4 linked regions of the Elephas maximus indicus genome follow. The protein of the gene in region 3 binds, or shares a complex with, the protein of the main gene of each other region. Links are inferred from orthologs where the notes say so. Each region holds a gene or a part of one and is shown on either strand. Other genes may lie near its edges. The genes, in order: MED7, CDK8, CCNC and MED24.

Region 1 (7,702 bases), on a different chromosome or scaffold from region 3:
TGTTGTATGCTTTGCTGTGTATATTCTCAACAACAACAACATAATACATTCACCCCACCCCCAGTGCCGTCAGGGGGAAAAAAAACCTATGTAGTATTGTCTTAATTTCTGGTGCTGCTATAACAGAAATACCACAAGTGGATGGCTTTAACAAAGAGAAATTTATTCTCTCACAGTTTAGGAGGCTAGAAGTCCAAATTCAGTGTGCCAGCTCCAGGGGAAGGCTTTCTTTGTCTGTAGACTCTGGGAGAAGGTCCTTGTCATCAATCTCTCCCAGTTGAGGAGCTTCTCAGCACAGGGACCCACATTCAAAGGACGTGCTTTCTCCTGGCTCTTGTTTCTTGGTGGTATGAGGTCCCCGTGTCTCTCTGCTCACTTCTCACATTTGTATCTCAAAAGAGATGGACTTAAGACAAAATCTAATCTTGTATATTGAGTCCTGGCTCATTAATGTAACTGCCTCTAATCCTGCCTCATTAACATCATAGAGGTAAGATCTACAACACATAGGAAAATCACATCAAATGACAAAATGGTGTACAATCACACAATCCTGGGAATCATGGCCTAGCCAAGCTGACACTCATTTTGGGGCCACACAATTTAATCTGTAACAGGTACAGTTCAACTCTGACACCCATGAGGTCATCATGAGTCAGAATCAACTAGACAGCAACTGATTTATACCTGTGAATACAATTTAATATAATCATTTTCCATAATGTAATATAATGTAGTTAATCAATCCTTTGAGAACACAGTGTAGGGCATATCCTAAATCTAATCACTTCTGAGTTACAAAAGGAGCAGGTTAGACACAGATGCACACACAGAGGAAGACAGATGCCACGTGAGGATCGACTTCAAGCCAAGAAACCAAGAAATCGGTAGCCAGAGCTACCGATAAGGAATTGACATGGCCAAGACCCTGATTTGGACCGTTAGCCTCCAGAACTGTGAGAAAATAAATTTGTTTTCAAAGCAAAAAAAAAAAAAAAAGAGATACGATTATATATTTGTTATTTAATAAATATTCATGGAGCACTTGCTAATTCAGAAACTTTTCTAGGTGCTGAGAATGCAACAGTGGATAAAATAGACAAAAGCCCTATCCTCATGAACCCTGCATTTTGATGGAAAAGACAAAAAATAAAAAATATACTCAATGATTCCGATGATGACAAGTGCTATGAAGGAAGGATAACAGAATAAGGAGACAGAGAATGACTGGGGGTGTGTTATTTTATTCAGAGTGGCCAGGGAAATGCTCTCTGAGAAAGGTCACAATTGACCAGAGACCTGAACAAAGTGAGAGAGTGAGGCATTAGATGTCTGTGCAGAGTTCTAGGCAAACCAATGGCTCTGAGGTGGAAGTGTGCTTAGTGATTTTACAGGGAAAAATTAGTAAGGCCAGTGTCGCTGAAGAAGGGTGAACACTGAGAAAAATGGTGGGAAATAATACCTGAAAGAGAGCCAAGAAGTAAATTTTGAAGGGCCTCGTAGGCCATGGTGACTCCGTTGAATTTTATTCTAAATGAGATGGGAAGCCATTAAGAATTTTAGTAGAGAAGTGATAAAAATCTATCCTTTAAGACAGAATAGTAAATAGATTGTTGTTGTGAGCTGTCAAGTTGATTCCGATTCATAGTGACCCTATACGACAAAGTAGAACTGCCCCATACAGTTTCCTAGGCCGTAATCTTTATGTGAGCAAGTCGCCAAATCTTTTCTCCCATGGACTGGTAGGGTGGGTTCGAACCGAAGACCCCTTGGTTAGCAGCCCAGTGCTTAACCACTGCACCACCATGGCTCCTTAGTAAACAGAGTAAGAGGGGGGAAAAGTTAAATTGAGGAGACCAGTTAGGAAGCTATTTCAGAAGTCCAGGTGAGAGATAAATGTGGTGTGGGATATGATCATAGCAGTGGGATGGAGCAAACTAGTCAAATTTGGGACTTTATTAAAAAAAGAACACAAAATGCCAGTAGTTTGGATGTGGAATATGGAAGAAGCTGGAGTAAAGGATGACTTCTCATGTTTGAGCCTTTGCAATTGAGTGAATAGTTGTTGTTATGTGCCGTAAATTAGACTCCAACTCATAGTGACGTTCTGTAAAATGGAACTATATGTTGCCTGGTCCTGTGCCACCTTCACAATCGTTGCTATATTTGAGCCTATCCTTGCAGCCACTGTGTCAATCCATCTCACTGAGGGTCTTCCTCTTTTCACTGACCCTCTACTTTACCAAGCATGATGTACTTTCTCCAGGGATTGGTCCCTCCTCATGAAGTATCAAAAGTAAGCACTACAAAGTCTCACCATCCTCGCCTCTAAGGAGCGTTCTGGCTGTACTTCTTCCATGACAGATTTATTCATTCTTCGGCCAGTCCATGGTATATTCAATATTCTTCACCAACATCATAATTCAAATGTATCAATTCTTCAGTCATCATTTTTTACACTCCAGCTTTCTAAAGTGATTGAAAATACTATGGCTTGGGTCAGGTGCACCTTAGTCCTCAAGGTGACATCTTTACTTTCAAAGATTTTAAAGAGGTCTCCTGCAGCAGATTTAACCAATACGGTACATCGTTTGATTTCTTGACTGCTTCTTCCATGGATATTATTGTGGATCCAAGGAAAATGAAATCCTTGACAACCTCAATCTTTTCTCCCTTTATCATGATGTTGCTTACTGGTCCAGTTGTGAGGATTTTTGTTTTCTTTAGGTTAAGGTGTAATCCATACTGAAGGCTGTAGTCTTTGATCTTCATCCATAAGTGCTTTAAGTCCTCTTCCCTTTCAGCAAGCAAGATTGTGTCATCTGCTTACTGCAGCTTATTAATGAGTCTTCCTCCAATCCTGATGCCGGCAACCTTCTTCATAGAGTCCAGCTTCTCAAATTATTTGCTCAGCATACAGACTGAAAAAGTATGATGAAAGGATACAATCCTGATGCACAACTTTTCCAATTTTAAACCATACGGTATCCCCTTGTTCTATTTGAACAACTGCCTCTTGATCTGCGGAGAGGTTTCACATCAGCGTTCTGAAATTCCTATTCTTCACAATGTTATCCATAATTTGTTACAACCTACACAGTTGAATGCCTTCGCGTAGTCAATAAAGCACTGGTATACATCTTTCTAATATTCTTTACTTTCAGCTAAGATTCATCTGACATTAGCAATGATATCCCTCGTTTTACATCCTCTTTTGAATCTAGCTTGACTTTCTGGCAGTAAAGAGGTCTAATAATGTTGGTACGGGGGTCTAAAGCTCAGAGGTGAGGGTGTTGCCAGGGCCTGGATAATATCTGACCGAGAAGTATCTGAAGAACTGAATTCCAGAATAATCTAAATGACCAAATTGTGTCAAATGCTGCTAAGAGGAGTAGTAAAACGAGAACTGAGAATGGCCATTGAAGGTCATTAGTGTAGGTCACTGGTGACCTTGACAAGAACAATGTCAAGGGAAATGAGAAGAGCTTATTTGGGGTATGTTCAGAAATTATGGGTTATCTCAACAAATAAACTGAGATGAGGGAAAACTGAGATGGAGAAGGAACCTATAGATTAGAAGGAAATTAAAAGACACAGTCAATTACAAAAGGTGGACCTTATTTGGATCCTGAGATACTTGAAATTTGTATACTGGCCTCATATTTGATATTAAAGATTTATTGTTAGTTTATTCTTAAATGAGATAATGATACTGGTTATGTTAAGGAAATGAGTGTATATTTTTTGAAAATGCATGCTGAAATACAGATGAAATTACGGCTAGTAGTTATTCAGGGTAGTGCTGAGCATACAGAAATTGATTACACTATTCTCTCTGCTATTGTGTATATTAGAAATTCTTCACAGTAAGTTAAAAAAAAAGCAATGAATCTTATTTTTGAGGAGGTAAAACTGCTGCAAACTTTTATCAGAATGAATATTAATCTTATTTTTCACAAAAACATGCTGATTTTCATAAAAGCTACCCATTTGTTCTGCTCTGTTAAAATTCATCTCTACTTGTATTATTTGGTCCACAGCTCTTTCAAGACTCCCACAAATTTAGAAATTTGTGCCACTTCTTACAAAAATAACCTCTATAAGAAACCTTTAAGTCTGAGTCTTTTTTTTTTTTAACTTGGTAATTTGTTGCCTGGAAATATTAAATAGACCCTTCTGAATTCCTAAATGAAAATAAAAGTCAATGGATGATGAAGAATGAAGATTCACAACATGTAACTCCCAAGCATGTTAACAAATATACCCTTATTTAAAAGAATTATAAGTACCATATAGAGTCCAATATCATTTTTAGTCATTTTTTACGTTATATATATTAATACGTATTTATTTATATTTTATATATTTACACTATTTTGACGTGGGTTTAGAGTTTTGTTGATATAATTTTTTTAAAAATTTTACCTGTATTTTCTAGTTTTTATACAAACCATATGGATGCTTTGTTTAACTGTCTTAAGCACTTTAAAAAAATTAAAAGAAAAAAAGGAACGGAGCCATGAGCCTCTCTTTTTTATGACTGAAAATACACAGACCAGCAAGCTCACCTCCAACCCCTCCTAGCGGCTGTGCCTACTACGTGAGGCCGCGCAGGCGCAATAGCGACCTAGTGATCTGAGGCGGGACTAGAGTCTCGGGAAAAGACAGTCTTTTCCGCCAATCAGAGGACAGCGCCTAGGAGCTTCTTCCTGGGGAAGGAGAACGGAAATCGGATTTTGGTGGCAGTGGCTAAGGCGGCTACCGGTGTAAGCCCAGAGCTGAGGTTAGTGGATGGCGACGGCTTGGGGCTCCGGTCTGCGTGCGTTTCTTCTTCCGGACCCTACTCCTATTTCAGAGCTGGGCTGGGGTTGGGGGAGGCCTGGGGAGGCGCGCCGTCCGAGGGTGGCCCTCCTTTTTCTCCCCTTCCTTCGGAGAGCTCGGCCTCCCGACCCCCTGAGTGGACACCCGGCCGCAGGGTGCTGCCTGCGCAGCTGACTCGAGGCTTCGTCCGGGTGGGGAGACCGAGCCGCACTGAGGTTGAGAGCTTGGGTTCTAGGCCCCGCGCCGCCGGTTTTTTAAATTGTGTTGCCATGGGCGAATTATTTCTTCCCTCTGGCCCTTTGTCAAATGGAAAGAACCATCTCTGTCCTTCCCACATCAGGGAGCTAATAGAGGTCAGGGGGGCGATAGATCTCAAGGTTAATCGTCAGACTCGCCTGGAGAGGTTTTAAAAACGACTTTTCAGAGGCACTCTATAGACAAGCTGAATCAAATTCCTGGGGTGGGGGGGCCTGGAATACTTTTTTTTTTTAAGTCCCCAGAACGGAACAAACACTAAGAAGGTGGATGTTGAGTATGAACACCGGCTATGATGCGTGGCGCTGGTTTTACTAAAATGAGTAAAACACCATCATCAAAAAGCTCCATCTAAGAGGAAATGGAGAAATGAACACAATTTCTGTAATATATCAAGTCTCAGTGGTACAGTTAGAAGCTTCATAGCTTTGCTAATGAAGAGCTCTGCAACTAAAAGAATCTGGGATAAGAATAAGAATCCCCGCTCTGCCATTTACTAATGTTTGATCTGAGGCAAGTACTTTCCCACATTGAGCCCTGGGATCTTCATCATAGAATTATGAAAATTAAGTAAGGATATAAACAATGGTACCTGTCACGTAGTTGGCCTTTGGAAAATGGCGACTTAAATAGAGGAATGCTAATGGTGCTGGGGAATACATACAGGACAGGACTCCCAACCGAAAAAAGGTTTGTGTGGGGTGAAACCTGGGATGTCCAAAATGTTATTTTGAAGTACCGTATGGATGGTGATTTCCCTAGTTTGATCATTATGCTGTGGTTATAAAAGAACATTCTGGTTTTTGGGATACACACTGAAGTACTTTATGGGTAAAGGATGAGTAGCCGCTAAAGCAAATGAGGAGAATGTTAAAATTTGGGAAATCAGGATGAAGAATATGAGTTCTGAATTTGTTAAAATAAAGTTTTAAAAAGTTGATTTAACTGTTTGCAACTAAGTGTGTTGTAAATAATTGAAACAATATTTATAAATGCCCCCCCCAACCACACACATACTCACCCATTTTTTCTAAATGGCTGTAGAGTATTAGACATTGTATTTTATCCAGTCCTCATATTGATGAAGGCATAGGTTATTTTCAAATTTTCCTACTCTTCAAACAGTGCTATGTTAAACATCCTTGTACATGTTTTTGTGTACTTGTACCAGTATTTTTATAGGATAAATTTCTAGAAATGGGATTGTTGGTTTAAAGAATATCAGCATGTAAAATTTGGATATTGCCATTTTAAATTCCAAATACCTACTAGGTTCCTTTCCCATCAGCTGTGCCTGAAAATTCCCCGTATTCTCTTGGGTGGTATTGGCTTACCACTTAGGGGAGTCATGCAGTGGTAGTGATGATGGCTGCTTCCGTGAGAGCTGCAGTGAGTGGGTGCCCTCCACCTGAGAAGGCATACCTGCTGGGCCAGAATAGCTAAGGGACTGCTTCTAAAGTTGGGTGACCACTCTGAAGAAACTGAGAGTGTGACCTCTGCTGGAGCCTGCTATGTAGGAAGTGTTCAGACATTTGCTGAATGATGGGATATTTGAGATCTTTATAGTCCATTAAATGAAAAATAGCATTTTAAGTTTTGTTCTGAAAAATGTATGTCTGAACATTTTCCCACCTTTATTTGGCATTTTTCTCCTTCTCATCCTTTGTCTATTATTATTTTTTAGCATAGATTTTAAAAAACTCATTCAGTGGCTATTTTGATGATCAGGCATTTCCTAGGCACTGTTTGAGGTGCTGAGATAGAATTGTGAACAAGACAGGCAGAATTCCTGATACTATGGTGCTTTCCTTCTAGTGGGGATGGAGTCTGAAAATAAGTTTTAAAACATCAAAATAAAATGTTTAGTATTTACTGTTATGTATTGCAAACATTTTTCTCCCAGTTACTATCTTTTAAAAATTTGCTTACGATATATTTTCCTATGTGGAATTTTTAGTTTTGTTTTCTACTAAGATTGCAAGCAATACTAAGATGGAGGCAGTGTCTAGAAAAATGGTATAGTGTAGTATTTAAGAGTTTTAGGCTCTGGATCCTTACTCTGCTACTTGCTCAGTGACATTAGGCAAGTAGCTTAACTTTTCTGAGCCAGTTATCTCATTTCTAAAACTGAGGCAATAAGAGTACCTTTTGCAGATTTCTCACAACTATGAGAAAAATATTTAGAACAGTGTCTGGCATATAGTGTACGCTAAAATATTAGCTATCATTGTAATCATGTTGCCTGTATACTCATTTCATACAGAAAAATATTTGAGAAATGCGTACTCATTAAGGATGTTTGAGCCTACTCTCAAATTCCCATTGATTGGAGCCCTCTTGAAATGGATGGAGCTGCTCAAATATTTATAAAGGTCCTACCTGCAAGGCTGTGGACGTAATGAGAACTATGATTATCACAATCCTTCCCCTCCTGGAGTTTACAGTCTGATGGGAGAGAAAAACAGGATACTAGTACAGAGAATAAAAGAAGACCTACTGTTGATCTCGCTGTTTTGTGAAAAGGTGATAGTTTAAGCTAATGCCTGAAGCCAGCCCCATGCTAGGATCAGGCAGAAAAACATTCCAAGCAGAAAGAATAGCAAGTGGAAAGGCCAAAGGCAGAAGA
Region 2 (6,961 bases), on a different chromosome or scaffold from region 3:
ATTAAAAGAAAAGTTCATCATACAAACAAAATCATTAAAGTTGCTAAAAACATGCCCAAAGGACTGCGAATGAAAAATTAATTTTTCCAAAACACAAGCTACTTTCTGGCTATCAGAAATGACAAAGAAATGTTTATACACTATACATTGAGCTATGTTTAAATTGTGTACCCAGTGAAAACCCAGTGCCGTCAAGTCAATTCCGACTCATGGCAACCCTATAGGACAGAGTAGGACTGCCCATAGAGTTTCCAAGGAGCGCCTGGTGGATTCGAACTGCCAACCCTTTGGTTAGCAGCCGTAGCACTTAACCACTACACCACCAGGGTTTCCATTGTGTAATTCTCCTCAAATTATTAAAACCTAAATTAAACTCTGATCATGAGATATAAAATGTGCTTAAAAGTACCTCAATACTAGTTTTTCAATAAAATATAAAATCAAAGTTAATACAAATATGCATATTTATTACCATAAATTGGTAATTTATGAAAACAAAACTGGCTTCTTTCAGAGAGCTTAAAAATAATTAAAGGTCATCAGAATTTTATCAAGCAGATGACAGACTGGTCAAATGTACTACAATGCCTAATCTCATGGGATTAGGGATTTTATGAATATGCTTAAAATTACATAATACTGGGGGATGAAGAGATGGTTTAAAGCTTTTGAAAAATATTATATGGGAAGCATAATTTAAAAATATATGTCATTACAGAGTAGTACCTTACTGAGAAATCTAATTAGACAACAAGACACAGCAGTATCTCCAGAAGCTGATTTCTCAAATGTCACCAGACCATCCATTCCCCTAAAAAGTACTTTTAAATACATGTGGCACCTGGAGTATCAAGTTTTCAAATTCCTACCTTTAACAGAGATAGCTGTACTGCTTTACTGCTGCATAAAGGCACTGAAATACACATTTCAAATTAATTAGTATTACCATTTTCTTCCTAGGGTCCGTCTTAAATTATTTTAGAAAGGTAACTAAGTAAATCTTAAAAAAAAAAAAAAGCTGAACATACATTTCCTTTCTAATATTCAGAATACTAAAGTATGTACAAATATGGCCTTTTCCCCCTATCCAAGGTAACTTATTTCAGCTTTATGAATGGTTACTCTTTTTTTTCTTTTTTGGTGCTAAATAGTTCTGAACATACCCTACTAATTTGAAATAAAAAAAAGCAATTATTTTAAATGGTAAATAGCAGCTAACCAAACTAACAGTAAAGCTACTTTTGCTTCTAATAAAATCCAAAGCTTTGATTTTATCTTCCCGTAAATTTCTATCATGTTAAAGGCAACAGAAACGACATCCATTTTTGCAAAAGGAAAGCAAAGAGTTAATCCAGTATATTTTCTCCCCAACCTAAATACTGTCTTCTCTTTTGTCAATATTACAAGACATTCATCTACTGACAAAGGAAAAATGAACACTTCACTTGCCCGTTTTAAAACTAAATAGAAACATTACCAGTCATAGATTTAATTACTTCTAGAGAAGAATGTCTAAAGCAAAGGGACTGCTTAAAGTTCAATGCCAGCTGCTAAATTTTGGGCGAACAGCCTTAACACCATACCCCCTATTTGTCACTTGCCTTTCCCCACCACCCACCCTGCACCAAACCCCCATTGTTCCGTGTACAAACTCAGTTAATGATACCCAAAGAGGGATTCCTACATTCATGGAGCACATGATCACTATGAGGAGCTCCTGACAGCCACATTCACTTGCTGCCTTTTCTGCCCTCAATAAAATCTAAATGTGGTAATAAATCCATTATGAAACCGATGAGGGAAAGGACCACTGCGTTCCTTCCAGAGTGACGGATGTCACTCTAGAGGCGGGTGAGGAAATCCTCAGAAGGTTATCATAATAAACCGACCCCCCCCCCCAAAAATCATTTCAACTGACGTTTCATAACGAATACTAAAAAAAAAAAAAAAAACCCGCACTGATGCCCCTGAAAAGTACACAGCCCACGGACGACGGCTGTTCTTCCCGGTCAGCCCCTGCCACCCAGAGGAGCACGCAGGGTCTCTGGCGGCCGCAGATCCCTCGCACAGCACTTCCTCCCGACCTGGCTGGAGCAGACGACGCGGGGTCGAGGAAGTGGGAGCCGGCACCGGCGGCCGCCCTCGCGCTCCTCGCCTCGGCCTGGGGCGACACGCACACACACTCACCCGTCTTTCCTCTTGGCTTTGTAGACGTGACCATAAGTGCCTCGGCCAACTTTGCAGCCCTCGTATTCAAACAGGTCCTCGACCCGCTCCCGCTCGCTGCTCAGCTTCACTTTAAAGTCATAGTCCATTGTCACAGCCTCGGAGGCCGGGGAGCGGGGCCGGGGGGCCGGGTGGCAGCGGTGGGGAACGGGGAGGCACGGGCAGCCGCAGCCCCCGGGAGCCCACCCGCTCTACACCTGGCAGCGGCAGCACCGGCCCGACGGATGCCGCAGGAGCAGCAGGAGGCCCCGCGACAGCCCCGGGGACATCCAGGGGGACAGCGGGGCAAGGTGGGGACGGGGAGGCCTCCCCGCCGGAGGAGAGCGGAGGGACGAGGCTGGGGGAGGGGTGGGGAGCGGTGTCGCTGCCCTCGTCCCCGCGGCTCCCCGGGCGCCGGTCTCCCTCTTCTCCGGCTGCGGAGGGAGCGCGGGGCTGCCGCGGCGGGCGCTCCTCTCCTCCTGGCACACACGCACTCACTCTTCGCACCCGCTCGCACACGCACACGCACACTCACTCACTCACTCACTCTCCATACACTCACACAGAAAAGCGGCGGCCGTACAACAGCCGGTACCTCCTCAGAGAGAAGAGGAGGGAGGGGACTTGCGGAACACGGCCCGGTTGTCGCAAAAACGTCGCGAAGGCTCAGGCTGCCTCGAGCCCTCCCACCACCCGCTCCAGCTGCGGCCCGCCGCCCCTCCCGGCGCCCGACGCCCGGTGACAGGGGGAGAGAGCGAGGGAGCAACTGGCCGGAGCGGCGGCCAAGCACAGCACGTGGGCCGTCCTGAGCGCTGGCCTGAGCCCCAGACTACAATGCCCAGAACGCACGGCGCCACCGTCACCGCCCCTTCCAGGACCCCGCCCCACGCAGGGGCAATGTGAGGGCGTGGTGAATGATGGGATCGGTAGTTCGTGGTGAGAGAAGTTTTAATTCATGTTGTTGGGTGCTGTCCAGTGGTTCCCGAGTCCTAGCGACCGCATGTGACAGGGTAGAATTGTCCCATAGGGTTTTCTAGACTGTAATCTTTATGGAAGCAGATCGCCAGATCTTTCTCCCGCAGAACAGCTGTGTGGGTTTGAACCACCAAACTTTGAGTTAGTAGCCAAGCACTTAAACAGTGCACCACCAGGGCTCCTTTTCAGTTATTTAGGGAACGCTTTTTATTATGTTTTATTATTTTTTACGGCGCACTTTTTATTTTTTAAATATCCTTAGAGTCTAATTTGGGCTATAAACTTGGCCAAGGAAGTTCACGTGTCAGGGAGGCTAGTTTGTATTAGAATCACATTTTGTGCTACTTGACGGTCACTCTCCCGTAAGGTCTGCACAGTACTATTCGCATAAGTGACACATGTTACAGACTTCGAGGAAAGTCAATCAGTGAGGAGTGTGATGCGACACCCAAATACTGTTACTCTTGCGGTAGTTGCCCATGCGAATGGTTCCGGTCTATTCAGAAGGAAGGTTACGTTGAGTATGGCCTTCGTGTAGAACCACCGATGTTTTAGCCATAAGATTACAGTCATGGAGCTAAATCAATGGAAACTAATTTGTTGATAATGTTTAGGTAGAAAAGGTGTCTCCTGGAGGAGCCCTAATATCTTGACAATAATCCCTCAAATTGCCTTATCCCTCTCATTTGCACATTCTTTTTTTGTTTGTTTGCTTCCATTTGTTACCATTTCCACTAATGCTCACCACTGTCCAAACGATATGATCACTCCCACTTTTAAACCCCCATAACACTTTATTTTTTCCACCTGTCCTGTGGTACTCATCAAATTCTGTTTTGTCTTGTATTCCCTCTCCCTTGCTAGATTATAAATTCTTGTAGAGGGTCATATTTTTCTCTTCCATAACACCTAGCATCATACCTTGACTATGGTGCACTGTAAACATTTGTTGACTTAATGAGTGAATGAACATGTTTATGTCAAAAATATCTGTGTACAGATGATGATGATGCAATTTTGTGAAAATCCTCAAAGGAACCCTTGTCTTATATAAATTTCCTCAGAGGAAATCATGACCTCACCATTGGTTTAAGTTGTTTTTACTTTAGCCATTAAACATAATTTAGTGTTTAAGTACCCTGACTCAGGTTAGATGACTCTGAGTTTGAATCCTGCTTGCCATTGATTAGCAGTGTATCCTTGGACTAACTCTGAGCCTCAGTTTGTGTCTTTGCAAAATGGAGATATAAAAGGCCCAACTTAGAATAAATGCACAGCAAATGTAAGCTTCCGTTAATGAGATATTACATGCATTTGATCGGTAATGTAATTTGGGTGACTCTCTAGCAGGACTGTGCCTTTGCATGGAGAATTAATTCTTTTCCCTAAGTATGAATTTAGACTAGACTCTTCCTGAAAATTTATTTTGTGTTTTTTGAGGGATGTGTCTTTTTGTCCAAGTATTCACTCATAGATTTTGAGAAACCAACCCACCACATTGGAGGAAAGGTGGTGCAGAGGCATGGCAGTGGGCTTGGCCCCATACTTGGGTGCCCCACCCCCATCCCACCACCTACACATGATATTCCTGAGCACTGAAGATCCCAGACTTTTAAAATGTACTTTTGAGTACTATTTTGTACCTATCCATCCTGTGGATGAAGGTAAGAATTCTCCCTGAAGTAACTGAGTGTTCTGATTATCAGTTCTCTGAGACAGGAACGGAAGCTGGCCTTGCACTAGGGAAGAGAACCAACCGATTGCTGTGGAGTCGATTCTGACTCATGGTGACCCCATGTGTGTTAGAGTTGAACTGTGTTCCATAGGGCTTTCAGTGGCTGATTTTTCAGAAGTAGATTGCTAGGCCTTTGGTTTCTGAGGCACCTGAGGTTGGACTCAAACGGCCAACCTTTCAGTTAGAAGCCAAGTGCGCTAACCATTCACATCACCCAGGGAAAAGAGAAGGGCCCGCTATTCTCTCTGAAGCTAGGGTGAGAGTTAGGAGTCTGGACTTCAGGGTGGGAGAATATGGTGACATGAGGTAAGCCGGCCCCTTAAGGCAGCATCAGGATGCGGAGCTAAGGAAGATTGCCACTAGGGGGCCCCTTACAGGGGAGCAGGGCCAATGTGTTAGAAGTGGTAACAGCTCATATTGGTTTTTTTTTTTTTTTTTCTTCATGGTAATTCCCTTCTGTTATACCCAAGCTATCAGCCTGGTCTTTGCTGTGGGGCTTGTGTCTGTACTTGGAGGAGAAGGGGCAGCAACAGCCTGCAGAGCCAAAGCAATGAGCCAGGAAGGACTAATGGAATGTGTAAGCATTCCAGATACTGGAAGAGTGGAATCTGGTTTTAGCATGCACTTCCTGTAGTTCAAGGGATGGAAGTTCAGACTTTATTGTTATTTGAATGAATTGAACATATCAGGAACATGGAGCTGTGATTTCAGTTTGATTTCCTAACTCTGATCATACTGAGTTCACATGTCCATTTGCTCCATGATGACCTCCACTGATGTTGTAGAATCTATGGCTTCGTTGGCCTACACTCCAAACAATGGCCTAATAATTTTCGTGCTTCTTTTCTTAAAATATGATTTTATTTACATTCCAAATTGAACATCTCCAGTGTTATCATGCCTCCCAAGCACCAGCCCCACAGTTCAGTTGCCTCCCATACAGCCTAAGGGGAAATTCTGCTGTCATCTCAAACTTAAAATTTCTGCAAGTGAACATACTATACTATTCCCTGAATCTCTCAGTTCCTGTGATTAGCAGTACCAGTAGACAGTCATTCTGCTGTTTGCCAAACCCATGAGCCCAGGCCTTCATTACCTAACATTGTCCTTAATATTCAAGCCAGATATGCCTTTGTCTGTCCTATTCTCCAAGGTTGGAATGCCCTTCCTCATATCGTCTCAGACCTTTGCAGTCCACCAGGGAACAGCTCAAATGCTTAACTTTTATCATGAAGACTTTCCTGATCCCTGCAACTAGATGTGATCTTTCTTTCCCATGAACCGCTCCCCCAGTTCCAGCCCCATCACACTTTATTTGTAACTTATCTAGAAGCATCACAATTATCTTATACTTCAGTTATTTATTTTATGCACTTAAAAAAAATCTTTCAACTCAGTCAATTGATGTAATATAGTTCACAAAGTTCATGTTCTTTATCCTAGTGAAGTGAGTAGCATCTGGGGTCTTAAAAGCTTGCAAGCGGCCATCTAAGATACAACTATTGGTCTCTACTCATCCAGAGCAAAAGGGAAAGAGGGAAATAGAGACTCAGAGAAGAAATAAGACTACAAGGCTAATAGTCAACATGAGCCGTGGCCTCACCTACCCTGAGACCAGAAGATCTAGATGGTGCCCAGCTACCACCACTGACCATTCTGACCAGGGTCACAAAATAATTATCTCTTACAGTGCCCAGCACATATCTTGCATAATTATAATTAATAAGAAGGTGTTTAATTTAATTGATTTCTCTAAAGGTTGAAATGAATCTTAAGATTAATAATAAATGGTGTAGGCAGTCATTTTAAAACATTTAACATCTTACCTCAGTCTTGCCTCTCAAGGTAAACCTTCTGCAGCATGCAAAAGAGCTTGCTGCTCAGTGATTAGATGAAAAAAGAAAAAAAAACAGACTTACTGCTTTATGATATATTAATGTAAAAGGGCATTCTTGACAACACACAATACAGGAGAGGTTAGCACAACTGCAAAGCAGTTAGCACAAAAGCAAAGAAATTTCCTGAGTAAACTGAATGCTTTGAAGG
Region 3 (7,791 bases):
TTTGAACAGAAGAAGTTTTGAACAAGAGAATATATAAAAAGCATAAGTATGCTTACTGATTTCTAGTCACTTACAAATAAGTTTAATGCTTGAGAAATGGAGCAAATAAAATCAATGCAATTTGGTGTCATAGAAATGTCTAGTTGAGCATCTCAGTAACACTAGTAGTAATTTTTGGGTCTTCCAGAGCAAGTAGGATTTCAAATACAGTTTGTCAGAGAGGCCAGAATTTATACCAGATGGGCCATTTCCCTCTTTCCTGGAACACCCTGTGCTTATAGCCTCACATGTTCTTTGTTGTACTCCTTCTTCTTTCTCCTTATATGCCAATTAAGATGTTCTTGGCTGCGGGTAACACAAATGCCAACTCAAAGTTGTTTAAACAATAAAGGGATGTATAATTTCACCCAACAAAAAATCTACAGGCAGGTGCTCCAGGATTGATTAATTCAGTGGCTGCACAATGTTGTCACCAAGAATCAAATTTTGCCCTGTCTTCCAGTTCTATCATACTCAGTCTGACTGTCTTGTCCTCCTGGTCATAAGATATGTGCACACCATAGTTATCACAAACAGCAGAGGTTCTCTAGCACTATTGACATTTTAGGTCAGTAATTCTTTGTAGTAGGAGACTGTTCTGTACATTATAGGATTTTTAACAGCATTTCTGGCCTCTACTTGCTACTTGCCAGTAGCACTACCCCAAATGTAACAAGCAAAAATATCCAGACATTGCTAAATGTCTCCCGGTGGGGGAGGGTAAAATCACCCTAGTTAATAACCACTGGCAAACAGACACATTAACAGTATAGTAGATGAGGGACTAATTTTTTTGTCAAAGGCTTTAGATATAAGACCAAGAAAGACCTTGTCTGAAGCTCTAAGCAGACTTCCCCTCTGTTGCATTGGCCAGACTTGCTACACGTTGTGATTGTTAAGGTTGTGTGTCAACTTGGCTGGACCATGATTCTCAGTGGTTTGGCAGTTATAACAGTCTGGCAGTTGTATAATAAATGTAATCACCTCCATGATGAGATCTGATATAACGTGATTGCCTCCATGATGGGATCTGTTGTGAGTAGCCAATCAGTTGAATGGGTGTTTCCTTGGGTGTGTGGCCTGCAACCAATATAGGTGGACTTTCTAGCAAGATTTGTGGGCTTTTGCTCCCTCTGGATCCTGCAGCTGGCTCCTGTTCATTGACACATAAAATTAACCATCACACTGTATTAAACTAAACAAGAGTTCATATTGCAATCTCTGACTTTATTACCACAGAATTCATTCTGGTCTTTGATTTTTTGTAACTTCTTTCTCTGGCAGTGAAAGACTTGGCTCCCATTATCTACCATCAATTTACTTTTTTTGTTCAACCCCACTATACATGTAAAGCAGGTTCAGAAAACAAATTTACAAACTACAATACAGTATTTATGTGCAGTTTTTTTTTTCTCTTTAGCTTCACAGTCTTTGATTAAAAACAATTTTAAATCAAATTGTTTATACAAAAGGAATCCCCCCTCCGAAAGACCCTGTACTATAGGGGAAGTCCTGTTCTCTTACTACCCTTAACTCACCCCTTTAGGGTTATCCATTTAATGACTTGATGCATATATTTCCACATTTTTCCCCTTGCTCATATACAAGCATATATTATGTGCATGTGTATGTCTGTGTCTGCATTTGTGTTCTATAGAAGACATTTGGTCTGAGGGTAGAGTATGGGAACTAGAATGTTTTAGAAGCAGGTAACTCTAAAATACAGCTAAGATTAAGGACTACTGCTCTAAGCCAATTGTGGTAGTTTTCATCAGGGCTACCTGTAGGTATGCGTGGCCCCGGACAATTTTTTTTTTTTTTGTGAGACATCTAACTATATAAAAAACAAGCAGATGAAAGAAATTAAGAAAATAATGATGTAGAGTAAGGATGACAGTTCATGATGTAGAGAAAAGCATACAAACGAATGTTACAACAATCAGAATCTACGAAGTAGACAGAAAATACACAGAATAGAGGGATAGCATAGGCCAGCTGGGAACAGGAAAACAGAGGAAACACACAGAGAAAAGTTGGCTTTGGTTCTTGACAGTTTTCTAATTACAATTCTCCTGTCAATCCATGAGTCTTTTCACAATGAACTATAAATTTCCAGAGGTAACTTTAGCAAGTCTCTATTACTTGCACCAAAAGAATTATAATATATAGTTATGAAATAAGTATGACTAAGAAGAAGGAAAGGAGTTGGCCAACGTGCCAGGGATAAAGAATACAATGGAAGAAGTTAGAAGTGTATTCAGTCCATAGCCAGGTGATAAAATCCATTCTGAGTTTCTGTTTGAAGAGAAAAGTGTATCAAGGTCAGATATCACCTGGAGAAGGCCACTGAGACAAGTGGACTTCCCCAGAACCACTCATTCAAGAAGACTCAGAAACCTGAGCTGCCAGCTTCCAAAAGAAAAAACCCAAACCCATTGCCATCGAATTTACTCTGACTCATAGTGACCCTAAAGGACAGAGTAGAACTGCCCCGTTGAGTTTCCAAGGAGCACCTGGTAGATCTGAACTGCCGACTTTCGGTTAGCAGCCATTGCCCTTAACCACTTCGCCACAAAGCGAAATTATCTCTAAGGTGTGGACGCACATTAGTCAAGCTCACAGAAACTCATATATCAAAAGTCCAATATCAATTTATTGATTTATAAGGATAATAACTACCAAATGGATCAGATCCTTTTGTTCACTCCTCAGAGTATTTTCTGTCTACAGGCAAATTCCTGTGGAAAGACAAATTATTATCGGAAGGTTGCTTGGTAAGCATGGAATTAGATCAATGGGAGTTAGTGCCTTCAAGCTATAACAACCTGATGCAACTCAATTCAACCTACACTTACCAAGTACCCTCAGATGTAATTTCCCCTGAAGCTAATACTTTCTAAGCTTTAGGCCCCTGTAAGTGATGGGAGCTGCTGGACAATTGGTTGTCTGAAAAGGGAAGGAGAGCAGGGTTGCAAACAGGAAGCATTTTTATGTAACATTCCTGAAAAATTGCCTAAAGAGTTTACAGCAGACAGGGACCTTGTTGTAGTTTCCTAGTGCTGCTGGAACACAAATACCATGACTGGATAGCTTTAAAGAAGAAAAATTTATTTTCTTGAGTTCTGGAGGCTAAAAATCCAAATTAGGGTCTCAGCCATGCAGATTCCTTCCTTGTAGCCCTGGGCATTACTTGTTTCTTGGTAATCCTCAGAGGCATCTGTCTTCCCCTGTCCTTGTTTCTGTGTTTAATCGGCTCTTTTTATAATTCAAAAGTGATTAGGTTCGGCTACAACAGATGACTGCCCTGACAGGGAACACAACAGAGAATCCCTGATGGAGCGGGAGAGCAGTGGGTTGCAGACCTCAAATTCTCGTAAAAAGACCAGACAGACTTATTGGTCTAACTAGACCAGAAGGACCCCGGAGGTCATGGTCCCCAGGCCTTCTGTTAGCCCAAGACTGGTACCATTTCCAAACCCAACTCTTCAGACAGGGCTTGGACCGGACTGTAAGATAGAAAATGATACTGGTGAGGAGTGAGCTTCTTGGCTCAAGTAGACACATGAGACTATGTGGGCAATTCCCGTCTGGAGGGGAGATGAGAAGGCAGAGGGGGACAGAAGCTGGCTGAATGGACACGGGGAATAAAGGGTGGAGAGGAGTGTGCTGTCTCATTAGGGGAAGAGCAAGTAGGAGTACATAGCAAGGTATATATAAGTTTTTGTATGAGAGACTGACTTGATTTGTATACTTTCACTTAAAGCACAATAAAAATTTTTTGGAAAAGTGATTAGGTTTAGGACGTTGATATGGCCTCATTAATATAACATTAGATTGCATTATGGAAAGTAATTATATTACATTATATCTACAGGTATAGGGATTAGGATTCCAACACATATTTTAGGGGGACACAAATCAATCCATAACAGACCTGAATCTCTAAGGCTTTACTTTTTGTTGTTTACCATCCAGTTGATTCTGACTTGATAGCGACTTATAGGACAGAGAAGAACTGACTTCATAGAGTTTCCTAGGCTGTAATCTGTAAGGGAGCAGATTGATAGCCCTTTTCTCCCTCAGAGCTGGGTGGGTTCAAACCACCGACCTTTCAAAACTTGTTATAATTTCTTTTTGTATTGTAAACATTTACTTTTTAAACCTAATTTTGCATTAATAATGTTATATTCTTTTTCTTGGAAACCCTGGTGGTGTATTGGTTAAGTGCTCCGGCTGCTAACCAAGAGATCGGCAGTTCAAATCTGCCAGGCGCTCCTTGGAAACTCTATAGGGCAGCTCTACTCTGTTCTGTAAGTTTGCTATGAGTCGGAATCGATTCGACGGCAACGGGTTTGGGTTTTTTTGGTTTTTACTATGTATATTCTCAACAACAAAATAATTTTTTTTTTAAAAAAAAAGGACATGTTAGGCTTGGTGCCAGTAGATGTCGGTAAGTCTGTGAGGCCAAAATAATTTTTCTTTTCAATAGCCGAAGAAATAAGATAAATCAAAAAACCTAATGGTCTATTACAATACCATTATGCTGTCTCAAAGGCCTTGAAGATGCAATAACAAAACCCAGTACTGCGATCCTCCCGTCAGGCTAACTCCACTAAACGTAGCCAGTTTTGATGACTGAACACCAAACCATCCAGCTCCAGGAGAAACAGGCGCGAAGCTCTCGCGAGACTCTACCAATACCCAGGAGCTCCCGTGAGCACCAGTTCCCGTCTCCTAACCTAGCGCGCTTACAGGCCGTCTCCTCCCCGCCGGCTTCTTCCGCTACCGCGGGGCGGGCCGGAACCTTTGTTAAAGGGAACGAGTTTACACAGCAGTGTTGCCGGCCGGCATCAAGGAGAACAGCGTGGCATCCTCTTCCTCTCGCCGTTGCGGCCGCGGAGCGGAGCTGAGCTGATTATAGTCGAGGAGCTCGGTTACCGGGCGGGCTGGGTCTATGGTCGCTCCGCGGGCCGCTCCGCCTGCTGGTGCTTTTTTATCAGGGCAAGCTGTGTTCCATGGCAGGGAACTTTTGGCAGAGCTCCCACTAGTAAGTGATCTCCCGTCTTCCGTCCAGGGCCGGCACTTAGGGGTCTGTAAGGACGGGGCCTGCAGCTCCCCTTGGCCTGCATCCTGGTCCCTGTCCCGAGCGCCTCGGGGTCCTCCCGGGAGTCGGCGGCGGCCGGCAGCCGGCAGCGGGATGCGCTGTTTTGAGATGACTCCCCTTTTCCTGCCCCCCTAGCCCGGTTTCGGGGAAGGATCTGTGACCCGGAGTGGTGGGGACAGGGCAGTCTCCGAGAAAGGGAGGTTGAGGAGTTTAATTTAGGATTGTTGGATTAGCTAGGCCCGGGATGGGGAGGGGGTTGGGTGATGGCTCCGGGTGTGGGAAGTGTGTCTCAGTTGTGGACTGTGAGGTGGGCTCCTCAGGATGGCTGTGGCTCGATTTTGCCTGGGATTACTTTAGAGGATCGGCACCTGGTCTTTTGTCATTCACCGTCTATCTTGAATGTATTTAATAATGTTCCGAGGAGGAGGGGGAACTCCGTGTTTCTTCTCACTAACCACTTCCTGCCACTACCTTATGCCCAGATGGAGTTTTATGTTGGTAGGTGATACAGCAGGTGCTTGCAAGACTTAGCCATTTCATTATTCTGTGCCTTGTATTTTGTTTTGTAAGTGTTTTCCAGTGATTTTGTTTGCTAGTTTACAATTTTTCGTAAATAAGTTTTTGTTTCTGTCAGTGATCGTGGAAGAGCTAGAGTTATATTAAAAACATTTTTCCCTAAGTGCATTTGTTTAAGCAGGCAAGAAGGTGGGTGATGGGGCTAATTAAACATTGACTAGACTTTTCACTGGAAAGTTGAAATAGGAACAGAACGTGATAAGACTGTACTTAGTGTAAGTAATTTTTAATGGTAAGAGTGTTTGTAACTAATTTCAACTTTGATTTTATGAATAGCATCGGTTCCTTTCTTTTGTTTTTTGGCCCTTTCCCGAAGAAAAAAGGAACAGTGGCCTTGGAAACCTATTTGCAGAAAAGCAGGTCTTCCTCTTTGCTCTAAAGTAATTCTATGGTGCTGAAATGCTCTAGAAGCTTTACAAATTATACCATTTTTATTTTGTATAGTTTTTTCACTCACTGAAATAGTTGCTTGGGCAAAGTTAAAATATAGAAGGCATAGGTAGTGGAGAAGAGTATTCTTATAAACTTGGAGAGAAGCTGAGAGAACTTCAGGGAAGCTGGCAGTTGGTCGTCAGAAGTTAATGCAGTTTTTTAGCTTTTAGAAAAGAGACCCTGTCCCCCTTTTGATGAGCATTCTCATTATGCTTTCACTTACTATTGGCATTATAGAAACAGTTGTTTTTTTCACTATTGAGATATAAAGTTATTACAACATTAAGTGTGCTTTTTTGGAATTGCCCCTGCCTGCCAATTCAAATAGTCCTGAAGGAAGGGGCCACTTTACCTCACTTAACTCCCTTGATTATCATGAAGTCCTTTTTCTGTAAAAGATAACAGGTATGAAATACAAGACAATCAATTCGTGAAAAAAACAAAAAGATTATGAAAGGACATTGCTTTAGGTACGTATCAGAGATTTTGATGAAAGAGGAAACGTCATGAAAAAGATTGTATTTCATGGCTTATAAGGTGCACATTTTCACATTTTAACTTCTCAGAAATTGGCATGGCAGTTTTTTTTTCTTAGTAACACATGAAATAATGATGAGTTTTACAGCCAGTGGAATCTTAAGTTTGATGAAATGTGGTATTTATAAGTCTTGGTTTATTCTCTATACAAAATGCTGGGAGGAAATTTTTTAAAAATATTTGTTTCTGAAATTTATCTTTTTAAAAAGATAAAATGACTCTGTGGAAATGAAATTAGTGTTAATTCCAGGACAGAGCAAGTCACAATATATTCCAGAAAATTGAAGTAGCACAAAACATTCTCTGATCACAATGTGGTAAAACCAGAAAGGCATTAAATAAATATTTTCAGGTTGGTTGAATGAATGAATGAGCACGTAACAAAAATAAAAACTACAAAACCAACTCTGGATGCTTTATTGTATCAAAGAGGAAACTGAAAATACAGTTACATAATATCTAGAAAATAATATAATGAGATCAATATATATCAGTATTTATGGAATGTAGCCATGCTGAACGTAAAAAAATTAAATTATTGAATGAGAAAGAATAAAAATAAATTTTTTAAAATTCTACCTAAGAATATTAAAAAGGAAACAGTGAAACAAACCTAAGGAAAATAGAAGGAAAGACTTAATAAAAGTAAAACTTTTATTAATGTAATAAAAGGGAAAAAATTGTCAGAAAATACAAGAGCTGGTTTTTTGGGAGGGAAAACCAAGACAATAGGCTGGATAAACTACTGCTGATTGAGACAAGGAAAAAAGGGATGATGTAAAAATATAAAATTAGGAATGAGAAAGGTAAATGAACCCAGATATACCTTTGGACTATCTGTATGGCATAAATTAGAAAGCAAATTAAGAGTTATCAGAACGACTTCGTAAAAATGCTCAAGGCCCACACATTATTTCCTGCATAAATTACCCTCAACTTTCAAGAGGATCATAGCTCTGCTATTGAAATTGTTCCATTTCACACAGAAAGGAGGAAATGCTTTCCAGTTCTTTTTATGAAGCCATTATAACACTGGTGATAAAATCTAGCAAAGGAAGCACTAAAAACCTGTCTCACTTTTGAATATTGATTCAAAGACCATA
Region 4 (7,667 bases), on a different chromosome or scaffold from region 3:
GCTGGCCTGGACTAGAACTCTGCCTTATGGGCCCTAAGGGTACCCTGGAAGGGAGCTGCCATCCCTCACCCACCCCAACCCCCAGGCACCTGCCCCAACTCCCTCCCCTCAAGCCCCTTACAGTCCATGGCCATGCCCACAGCGATGCACTTCTTGAAGCGGCACAGCTGGCACTGATTGCGGGTGATCTTGTCAATGACACAGCAGCTGTCATACTTGCAGGAGTAGGTGGGATGGAGGTTCTTCTGGATTGTGCGGCGAAAGAAGCCCTGGAGCAGGGGAAGACGAGCATGTTGTGATCCTAACCTCCCCTTCCTGAATCAACCATACAGTTCACAGGGGATGGCAGGGGGCGAGATTAGTGAGGGGACCTGGGGTCCTCTTGACACAGCTAGCCCAGGATCACTGGGCTCTGCCAGGGCAAGGGACCTTAGAAACGAGTGCCCTCGCCCCAAGCACCTGGGCAGTGGTGATGGCAGGGCCAAGAATGATGACTGCAGTAGGGAGACTCGGATCTGGGGATAGTGTGTGGTGCCAGGAGGTCTGAAGGAATAGGAGCTTAGGAAGTCCAATTAATACTTTACTTTCCAACTTGCTAAATGACCCTAAAAACAACAGTGACCACAAAATCATTTTCCTGTATGTTGTCAGTTTCCCATGTAGGCGGAATTCGTGAAATAGAGAGACCAAAAAAATTAAGAAAAGACATTTCGGTACATGCTCTAGTAGCTTTAAAAGAAAAATTTCACCAATTATATATACCAGGTTTAGCCCTTTCTTCAAAGGAAAACCCTCAAGAACCAAGATGGTAGTAGTAATGCAAATAGCCAATATTTACTGAATGCTTACTATGTGTCAAGCACTGTAAGCATTTTTATGTGACATGCCATTTAACTATGACGTAGAACTCTTATTGTTCCATTTATAGGCTGGAGACTTAGTGGTGCAGTGCTTAAGCTTGGCTGCTAACTGAAAGGTCAGTGGTTCAAACCCACCAGCCACTCCATGGGAGAAAGATATGGCAGTCTGCTTCCATAAAGATTACAGCTTTGGAAACCCTATGTGGTAGAGTTCTACTCTTTCCTATAGGGCACTATGAGTTAGAATCTATTTGAATTGACTGAACAGCGATGGGCTTGGTTTTTGGTTTCATAGGCTAAGAAACTGAAGCTTAGAGAGATAAAGCAACTTGCCCAATGTCACATGACTAACGGGCAGAAGAGCGAGAGCTGGGCCTCAGATATGGAACAGCAAGGTCTGAGCTCTCAGATTCTGAGATGCACTAAAATCACTTAAGGCAATTACCAAAAATGCAGACTTCTAGGCCCCACTCCAGACCTGCTAAATCAGACTCTCTAGGAGTAGGGCCAAGGCATCTGTCTTTTCAAGATGTTCCCTGGGGATTTAATATCCTTGAGCATGAGGACCCTTGCTCTACACTACACTGCTTGTATTGGTTCCAGGGACACAGCCATGGGACAGTAAATCCTGGTGGTCTTGGTGTAGTTGACACTGAATAATTCTGTTTCCTGGAAGGGCCCACCTTTTCAGGAGGTGGTGATCTGGGAAAAGCCATGCAGGCTGAAATTACCAACAGAAAATCTAATTATGCCTCCCCAAGTCTATGACCTTGTCCGCTCTACACAGGGAGAACCTGCCATCCTCTTCTCCTCTGTGCCCCCACCATGACCCCCAGCAGAGGCTCTCACCTCTTTGGGTATATCAGAAGCAACTGGGGAGCCCATTACAAGGCAGATTCCTGGGCACCACGACAAGAGGCTCTGATTACAGTTGGGATGGGGCCTGGGAATCTGCATTTTATCTAGCATTGTAGGCGGTCCATGAGCCTCATTTTGAAAAACACTGATATTTGTTTCCAGTCTGTCTCTCTCTGACTTGAGGACAGGACATACTCTCCATCCTCACATTTAATACAAGGCCAGGAGCACTGAACGGTTGGGCAATAGTTGGCATTTATTGGGGTGTTTCTTACACGCCTGGCACTGTTTTAAACACTTTATGTGAACTATCCTATTTCATTCTTAACACCTCTATGAGGTAGGCAGAATGATTATTCCAATTTTATAGGTGAAGAAACTGAGGCTCAGAGAGGTTAAGCAAATTACCTGTGAGTGGCAGAGCAGGGATTATGTATGAATGAACAAACAAAAGAATGAATGAATGAATGAGTGCAAAAAGAGAAATGATGGTATTACAGGTGGGCTTGAGGTTACATGTTTATAGAGCTTTTCTATCATGCCAGGTACTGAGGGCCTCAAAGGGAGTGAGATAGGGGCTCAGGCGGTAGGGGAGGGGAGGAGCCGGCTGGTCCATACCTTGCAGCCCTCACAAGTGATGCAGCGGTAGTGATAACCGGTTGCCTTGTCCCCACACACGACACACTGCTCGTCTTTGTCCAGGTAACTAGGGATATACCCTGGGAGGGAGGGAGGGAGGGAGGCAAGCAGGCATGGCTTGGGGTCCCAGCAGATAGGTTCCTGTACTTTCCCCATCCCCCAACTTTTCCTTTCTGGCCATGCCCTCACCCAGCCTCCCTGAAGGGTTGTCTGCAAGGAGAATCCTGGGAACACATCACAGGTCATCATATCTAATCCCTGGCTGACATGAGTTGGAATCAACTTGATGGCAACTGATTTTTTTGTTTTGTTTTTTTAATGAATATGAAGAATCCCAGTCCTTCTGGCTGCCCACTCTGGGCTTTTGCTGCCTTGCTTTCCAAGGGGTAGGGGATGGGGGGGTGGGAGGCAGAAGCAAATATCAGCACTTCTCTCAGGAGAATGCAGTCCCATGGCTCTTCTCTCCAGGCCCTGATTCTGCTGAGGGACTCAGCATGGGGGTTATGGGAGAAGGGAAGAGGCCCTTCCTGACCTAATTCATCCTCAAAGCCTGGTTCATGCGCCACATCAGCCCTCCTACCCCTGGACAAGTCTATCCCAAGCCCTCTGAGAGGATCCCCCCACAGAAGCTGCTGGTGCGTGTCAGACCCCAGGAGAGGCCAGCGCTGGCTGGGGAGCAGGGAGGAAGGGCACACTCAACCAAGCTCACCTGACATGCTGGTTTTCAGGGAACATTGGCCGTTCTTTCTTTTTCGCTTTCCATCTGGTGACCTGGCACTGGATGGGGACAAAGTGGGTGGAATCACAGAGTAGTCCTTGGGAAACCCCTTTCTCATCTGAGAGGCTTATACAACCCCCCAGGCCCAACTCCCTCCATCTGTATCCTCATTCTACCCCCACCCTCAGGTCAGCTGACAAAGCTAAGAAAGGTCCTGCTATCTGGACACTGCAGGGGACAGAGATAAGGGGCTTGGCTGGGGCACAAGCATGTTCTAGGGCCCCAACACACACACACACACACACACACACACACTGCAGAACATTAAGCACTCTGCTGTATAATCTAAAGGACATCCACATACTTCAACCTTCAGTACATGACACAGACGCTGGAGGTGTCCCCAGGACATGCTTAAAGCTACGCAAGCTTTAGAACATGCACACACACATACATGCAACATAACACAAGCACATACAAATAACTATGCAGCCTTCAGTATAAATCCAAGTATGATAAATAGGCACCAGGATCTATCTACATCTATGCAATTTCTAGGGCATTCTCAAATGAGTTATATGACTTCTAGGGTATAGTCATGTGATACACAACCTTCTGGACAGGCACCTAACAATACCACCCCCTCTCCTCCCACTGTGAACATGTTGTTTGATTTTCCAGTCATGCATAGGTACTAAATAATCCACAGTGATTGAAAACATACAGTGCCTAGCTCCCAGCACCTAGAACCAAGAATGAAAGACCAGGAAAGTCCTTCCAGAATCACGCTGTCCATGGCTTCCATTTAACAGAGCAGCAAACCAAAGTCCCACTTGGGCCTGGTGACACCGCATGCTAGAGACAGAGCCAGGACAAGGACCCTGAGCCCCTGCGCTCCAAGTATTAGCAACCCTCCTCCACTGCACATATATGTCACCCTGGTGCTCCATATACATGTTACATAACCCCCCCCAACAGGTTACATAAGCCCTTCTACATGCATGCACGGATTGTATAACCTCCCACACCCACCCTGGCATGTAGCATAGTCAGGACTCCTCCTCCTGGAGCCCAAAACAGCTCCCAACACACTGACACAGTGACCTTGGCCAGGGTCACAATCACAGACAGCCCTGTGCTCCCCACCCCCTGGGGATTACCCCTGTCTGGTTCTGACAAGGCTGGAGGGTCAGGATCTCCTTCTGGTCTACTGGGTGGGGGTGTGTGCGGGAGGAACTCCGGGCCACCTAGGCTCCAGTAGAGCTGGCCTCTTCAGAGATTACCTACCTGGAAGCCTTTGGGTGCAGTCCCAGGGACAGCCACAAGGTGGCGCAGAGACATGGGGGAGGGGACAAAGACGAGAGGGAGGCGGGGGAGGGAGGGGCTGCAACCCTAGGGGGACCGGGAAAGGGCATTCCCGCCTTTCTCCAACCCTTTGGGACAGACTCTCTCAGACCTACAGAAGCCTGGGCAGGGAGGTACAGGAACTACAAGTCGGAGCCGCACTAGGACAGGCCAGATCTTCCTTCTCAGAGTCTCGCCTAGGGTGAGGTTTTGGGGTAGGGGTTCCCTGGGGGGCCCACCAAACTGCAAGCCCCACCCACTTCCTCCACCCCTCCAGGGACCCAGTCTTGGGCCCCAGGGCTTTGCCTGGCCAGGCCTCAGGCCTCCTGGCTCAGGATCTGGTCTCCTAGGCAACAGCCACACTGCTCCCCAGAGCACCCCTCCTCCATCCTCTCTCCGGCCATAGGCACAAGCTGTACCCAGCTTCTGGGGCACTATGCCAACTGGGACAGAACTCTGTGCCACTTGGTGCTGATGGCAGAGACCCTCTGGGCTCCTCAAGGACAATGCAGAGCACAGGTAACCCATCCCTACTTGTGTGTGCTGGGCGGATGCCTCCCCATGTGTGGGGTAAACCTTCACGTGTGGGGTAGTGTGGGGTAAACCTTCACGGTTGGCCTGCGCTTTCCTTCCTGGGAGGAGCTTCATGGTAGCACCCGCCCTTCCCCATAAACAAGGAATAGTTTGTGGGGCTCCCAATAGGTTCCAATACAAACGCGAGCTGTGACCAGTAGTAACTGGTGCATGTGCCCTGAAATGTCATGCTACATGCACCAGGGCCTGTGGACAACACACTTGTGGTCAGATGGTGAATGGGCTGGTAGGGGGAGGAGGAAGGTGGCAAGGCCTTTTGGATACCTCATGCTCAGGTGAGGGCAGCAGTAGCAGAGGAGACACTGGGGGGCATTTGAGACTGTCCAGCATGGTCAAGGGTAGAGCCATATGCTTGCTGCCTGAATACTCTGCTCCGTATCATAGGCGTATGATATGGGCATCTCTGAACCCAGGTGCCTACTTCCCTGCCACATCTAAACGTGACCTCATCTCCTGGGGAAAAGGTAGGTAGGCAGCAGGCTTGCTGGCCTCAAGCCCGTTCCCAAGAGGTGCTTAAAAGGCCTGAGCTCAGTTCTTGTCAGGGAGGCCTTATGCCCAGCCAAGTGACCATGCCCACTGCCTGGGCCTATTACCTGTTCTCCTCTGGGTCTGACCCACACTCCAGCTTGCTTGGCTTCTGTTCCATTCACTTCAATTCCATCCAGGATGCACTCCAGCACGCCAAGAGACTGGGGTGGGCACACAGGCCCCCCCGGCACACCCACAGGCCACCCACCCCCCACCACCCAAGCCCTAGGGCACAGCACCCATGGTGCCTGCCTCAGCACTTGGCCTTCACACCATGCCCTGCGCCCCAAGGGGGGCGGGCAGTGAGAGGGGCCAGGGAGTGGCAGGTGGGAGGGCTAGGGGGTGAGCTGGATTTGTAGGGGTGTCCTGGGCTGGGGTTTGGGGAGTAGGCTCAGTGTCTTGTCCTGTCCTGAAGTCCCTGCAGAGAAAAGAAAGAGAAAGGGTAAGAAGGTTCCATGGTGGGGGGGATTCCTCTGGTGGTAGCAATTTGGGTTCTTGAGGTCCACAACAGGATGATGAAGCACGTGGTGGGCAGGCACAGGTAACCTAGTTATGCTTCCCCAGGGAAGGAACAGGGTAATCTCTTAGATTAGCCAACAAGATTGTAGACTTATATCCTAAACTCCAGAGATGGAGAGGGATGGAGGAAAGGAATGAGGTAATTTGTGTACCGTGTACCACATCTCAATCCTCACATTCTATCAAGTGCCAGGCCCTTAATAAGTATCTATAAACGTCAGCTACTATTACCACCCCTCTAGCTGTTTCCCTAAAACTCATCAGTATTATAGGGGCAAAAGGGGATCAGGGATGAGCAGTTTTCAGCCTAGGCCCTGGGAGAACCAGTAAAGGAAGGGTGGGGTATGAGGACAACGTTCAGGGACCATAGATGCCCATCTTAGTGTCTCAAGGAGAGAGATACTAACAGTGGTGGGGAGCTGACCACACCTGCTGCTGATCAAGTTATGACTCCTCAACCCTGGCCCCCCAGGGACCCCACGGCTTCCCATACAAGGTCCTAGGTCACACTTCCCAGTCTGAGGACCAGACTTCCCAGTCAGTTTAGCTGAGCTGCCACCTACCAGGATGGTGAGGGGAAGGGGAAAGGGAACACGCATTGACTGAGCAGATAATACGTGCCCTCTGAAGTGGGCATCAGAACTTTCCTGATGAGGAAACTGAGTATCAGAAAACTTGATCATTTACTTAAGTTCACATAGCTATAAGCAGGTGGCTCAAGGATTAAACTTAGTGGCCTGGCTCTAATGCTAGCTTTGTTCCACTACCTGGAGTCCAGGGCAGTGCTAGTCTGGGCCCACTATTCCATCTACACAGCACCTCTCAACCCAGGCTGCAGATCTGGGGCTTACTGTGTGTGTACACACAGGCAGGTGTGGGTGTAGGACGGGGACAAAGGGTGCAACTCCCCACACACAACCTCTATCATGTGGCCACTGCACCAGAGATCTCACCCCTGGGCCCCCCCCCAACCCGACCCCCAGGAACTGATAAGGAGCCAGGGTGGGAGGAGAAGGGAGATAAGTCAGGATACTAGGCAGGGCAGGACAACAGGACAGGGCCTCTGCATCCAGGCAAGCCCCCGTGTGGGGAGGAGTGCAGAAGGAAGGCCCATTCTGCCTCTGATACCCCCCCAGGCCAGAACTGGGCACTGGGGGCTGGATAGGAGACTGGGGGAGGGGGGCAAGCGGGGAGCCTTAGCCCAGGGAGCCGTCAAGAAAGTAGGTCAAGTTTTTCTTGGCTTGTGGAGAAATTCCTGTTATAAATTTATAATGGCGTAGCCAGCCCTGAGGGGTGGAGGTGGGTGGGGATGCCCAGGGGCTGGGCACTGGGGCCTGCTGTTCTCAGCCAGCACAGTGAGGGGCAGGGGGCTTGGTAGTCATGGGGGCTGGGCTGGACAAGAGAAGGCTATTTTCTCTCTGTCGCCTAGTCCCACTTCTATCCCTGCCTATCCAGGCCTCATTCGCTGCACAGTCTGTCTCCCTCTGAATGTGTCTCTCTCTCTGGGTCTGGGTGTCTCCCTGTCTCCCCCCAGGCTGTGCCTCGGTGCTTGGCACACCCTGGCTGCGGTGCTGCCCCCGCCTGTCTCCTGCCCGCCTGGCATGCTG

What was found.
Region 1: CCNC (region 3) and MED7 share a complex: the UniProt entries of both Homo sapiens proteins name them as parts of the mediator complex. The link is inferred for Elephas maximus indicus from reciprocal best matches to the Homo sapiens genes CCNC and MED7.
Region 2: the proteins of CCNC (region 3) and CDK8 are in contact, whole or in part, in a crystal structure (PDB 5CEI), measured with the Homo sapiens proteins. The link is inferred for Elephas maximus indicus from reciprocal best matches to the Homo sapiens genes CCNC and CDK8. Residues at the interface, in NP_005181.2 of Homo sapiens: Met1, Ala2, Gly3, Asn4, Ser8, Ser9, His10, Gln13, Phe72, Tyr76, Lys79, Ser80, Ile81, Asp82, Leu85, Leu93, Lys96, Val97, Glu98, Glu99, Phe100, Gly101, Val102, Tyr130, His134, Leu136, Glu137, Glu139, Phe140, Tyr141; in NP_001251.1 of Homo sapiens: Met1, Asp2, Tyr3, Asp4, Phe5, Lys6, Leu9, Arg13, Gly58, Ile59, Ser60, Met61, Cys64, Arg65, Ile67, Ala68, Leu69, Arg71, Glu72, Leu73, Val84, Leu86, Ser87, His88, Arg91, Lys92, Val93, Asn145, Trp146, Val147.
Region 4: CCNC (region 3) and MED24 share a complex: the UniProt entries of both Homo sapiens proteins name them as parts of the mediator complex. The link is inferred for Elephas maximus indicus from reciprocal best matches to the Homo sapiens genes CCNC and MED24.

The regions. Positions count from the first base shown.
Region 1 is NC_064820.1:173,622,952-173,630,653, reverse strand, and holds the start of MED7 (mediator of RNA polymerase II transcription subunit 7), read left to right. Parts: upstream 1-4,697; 5' UTR 4,698-4,783; intron 4,784-7,702. UniProt on the Homo sapiens protein: Component of the Mediator complex, a coactivator involved in the regulated transcription of nearly all RNA polymerase II-dependent genes.
Region 2 is NC_064841.1:58,014,661-58,021,621, reverse strand, and holds the start of CDK8 (cyclin-dependent kinase 8), read right to left. Parts: upstream 3,006-6,961; 5' UTR 2,316-3,005; coding exon 2,188-2,315; intron 1-2,187.
Region 3 is NC_064819.1:164,409,150-164,416,940, reverse strand, and holds the start of CCNC (cyclin-C), read left to right. Parts: upstream 1-4,779; 5' UTR 4,780-5,054; coding exon 5,055-5,086; intron 5,087-7,791. UniProt on the Homo sapiens protein: Component of the Mediator complex, a coactivator involved in regulated gene transcription of nearly all RNA polymerase II-dependent genes.
Region 4 is NC_064837.1:47,307,352-47,315,018, reverse strand, and holds the start of MED24 (mediator of RNA polymerase II transcription subunit 24), read left to right. Parts: upstream 1-4,650; 5' UTR 4,651-5,224; coding exon 5,225-5,477; intron 5,478-5,606; coding exon of another isoform or gene 5,607-5,659; exon of another isoform or gene 5,660-5,959; intron 5,960-7,667. Other genes in the region: THRA (thyroid hormone receptor alpha), read right to left, coding at 122-269, 2,337-2,437, 3,067-3,134, 5,607-5,659. UniProt on the Homo sapiens protein: Component of the Mediator complex, a coactivator involved in the regulated transcription of nearly all RNA polymerase II-dependent genes.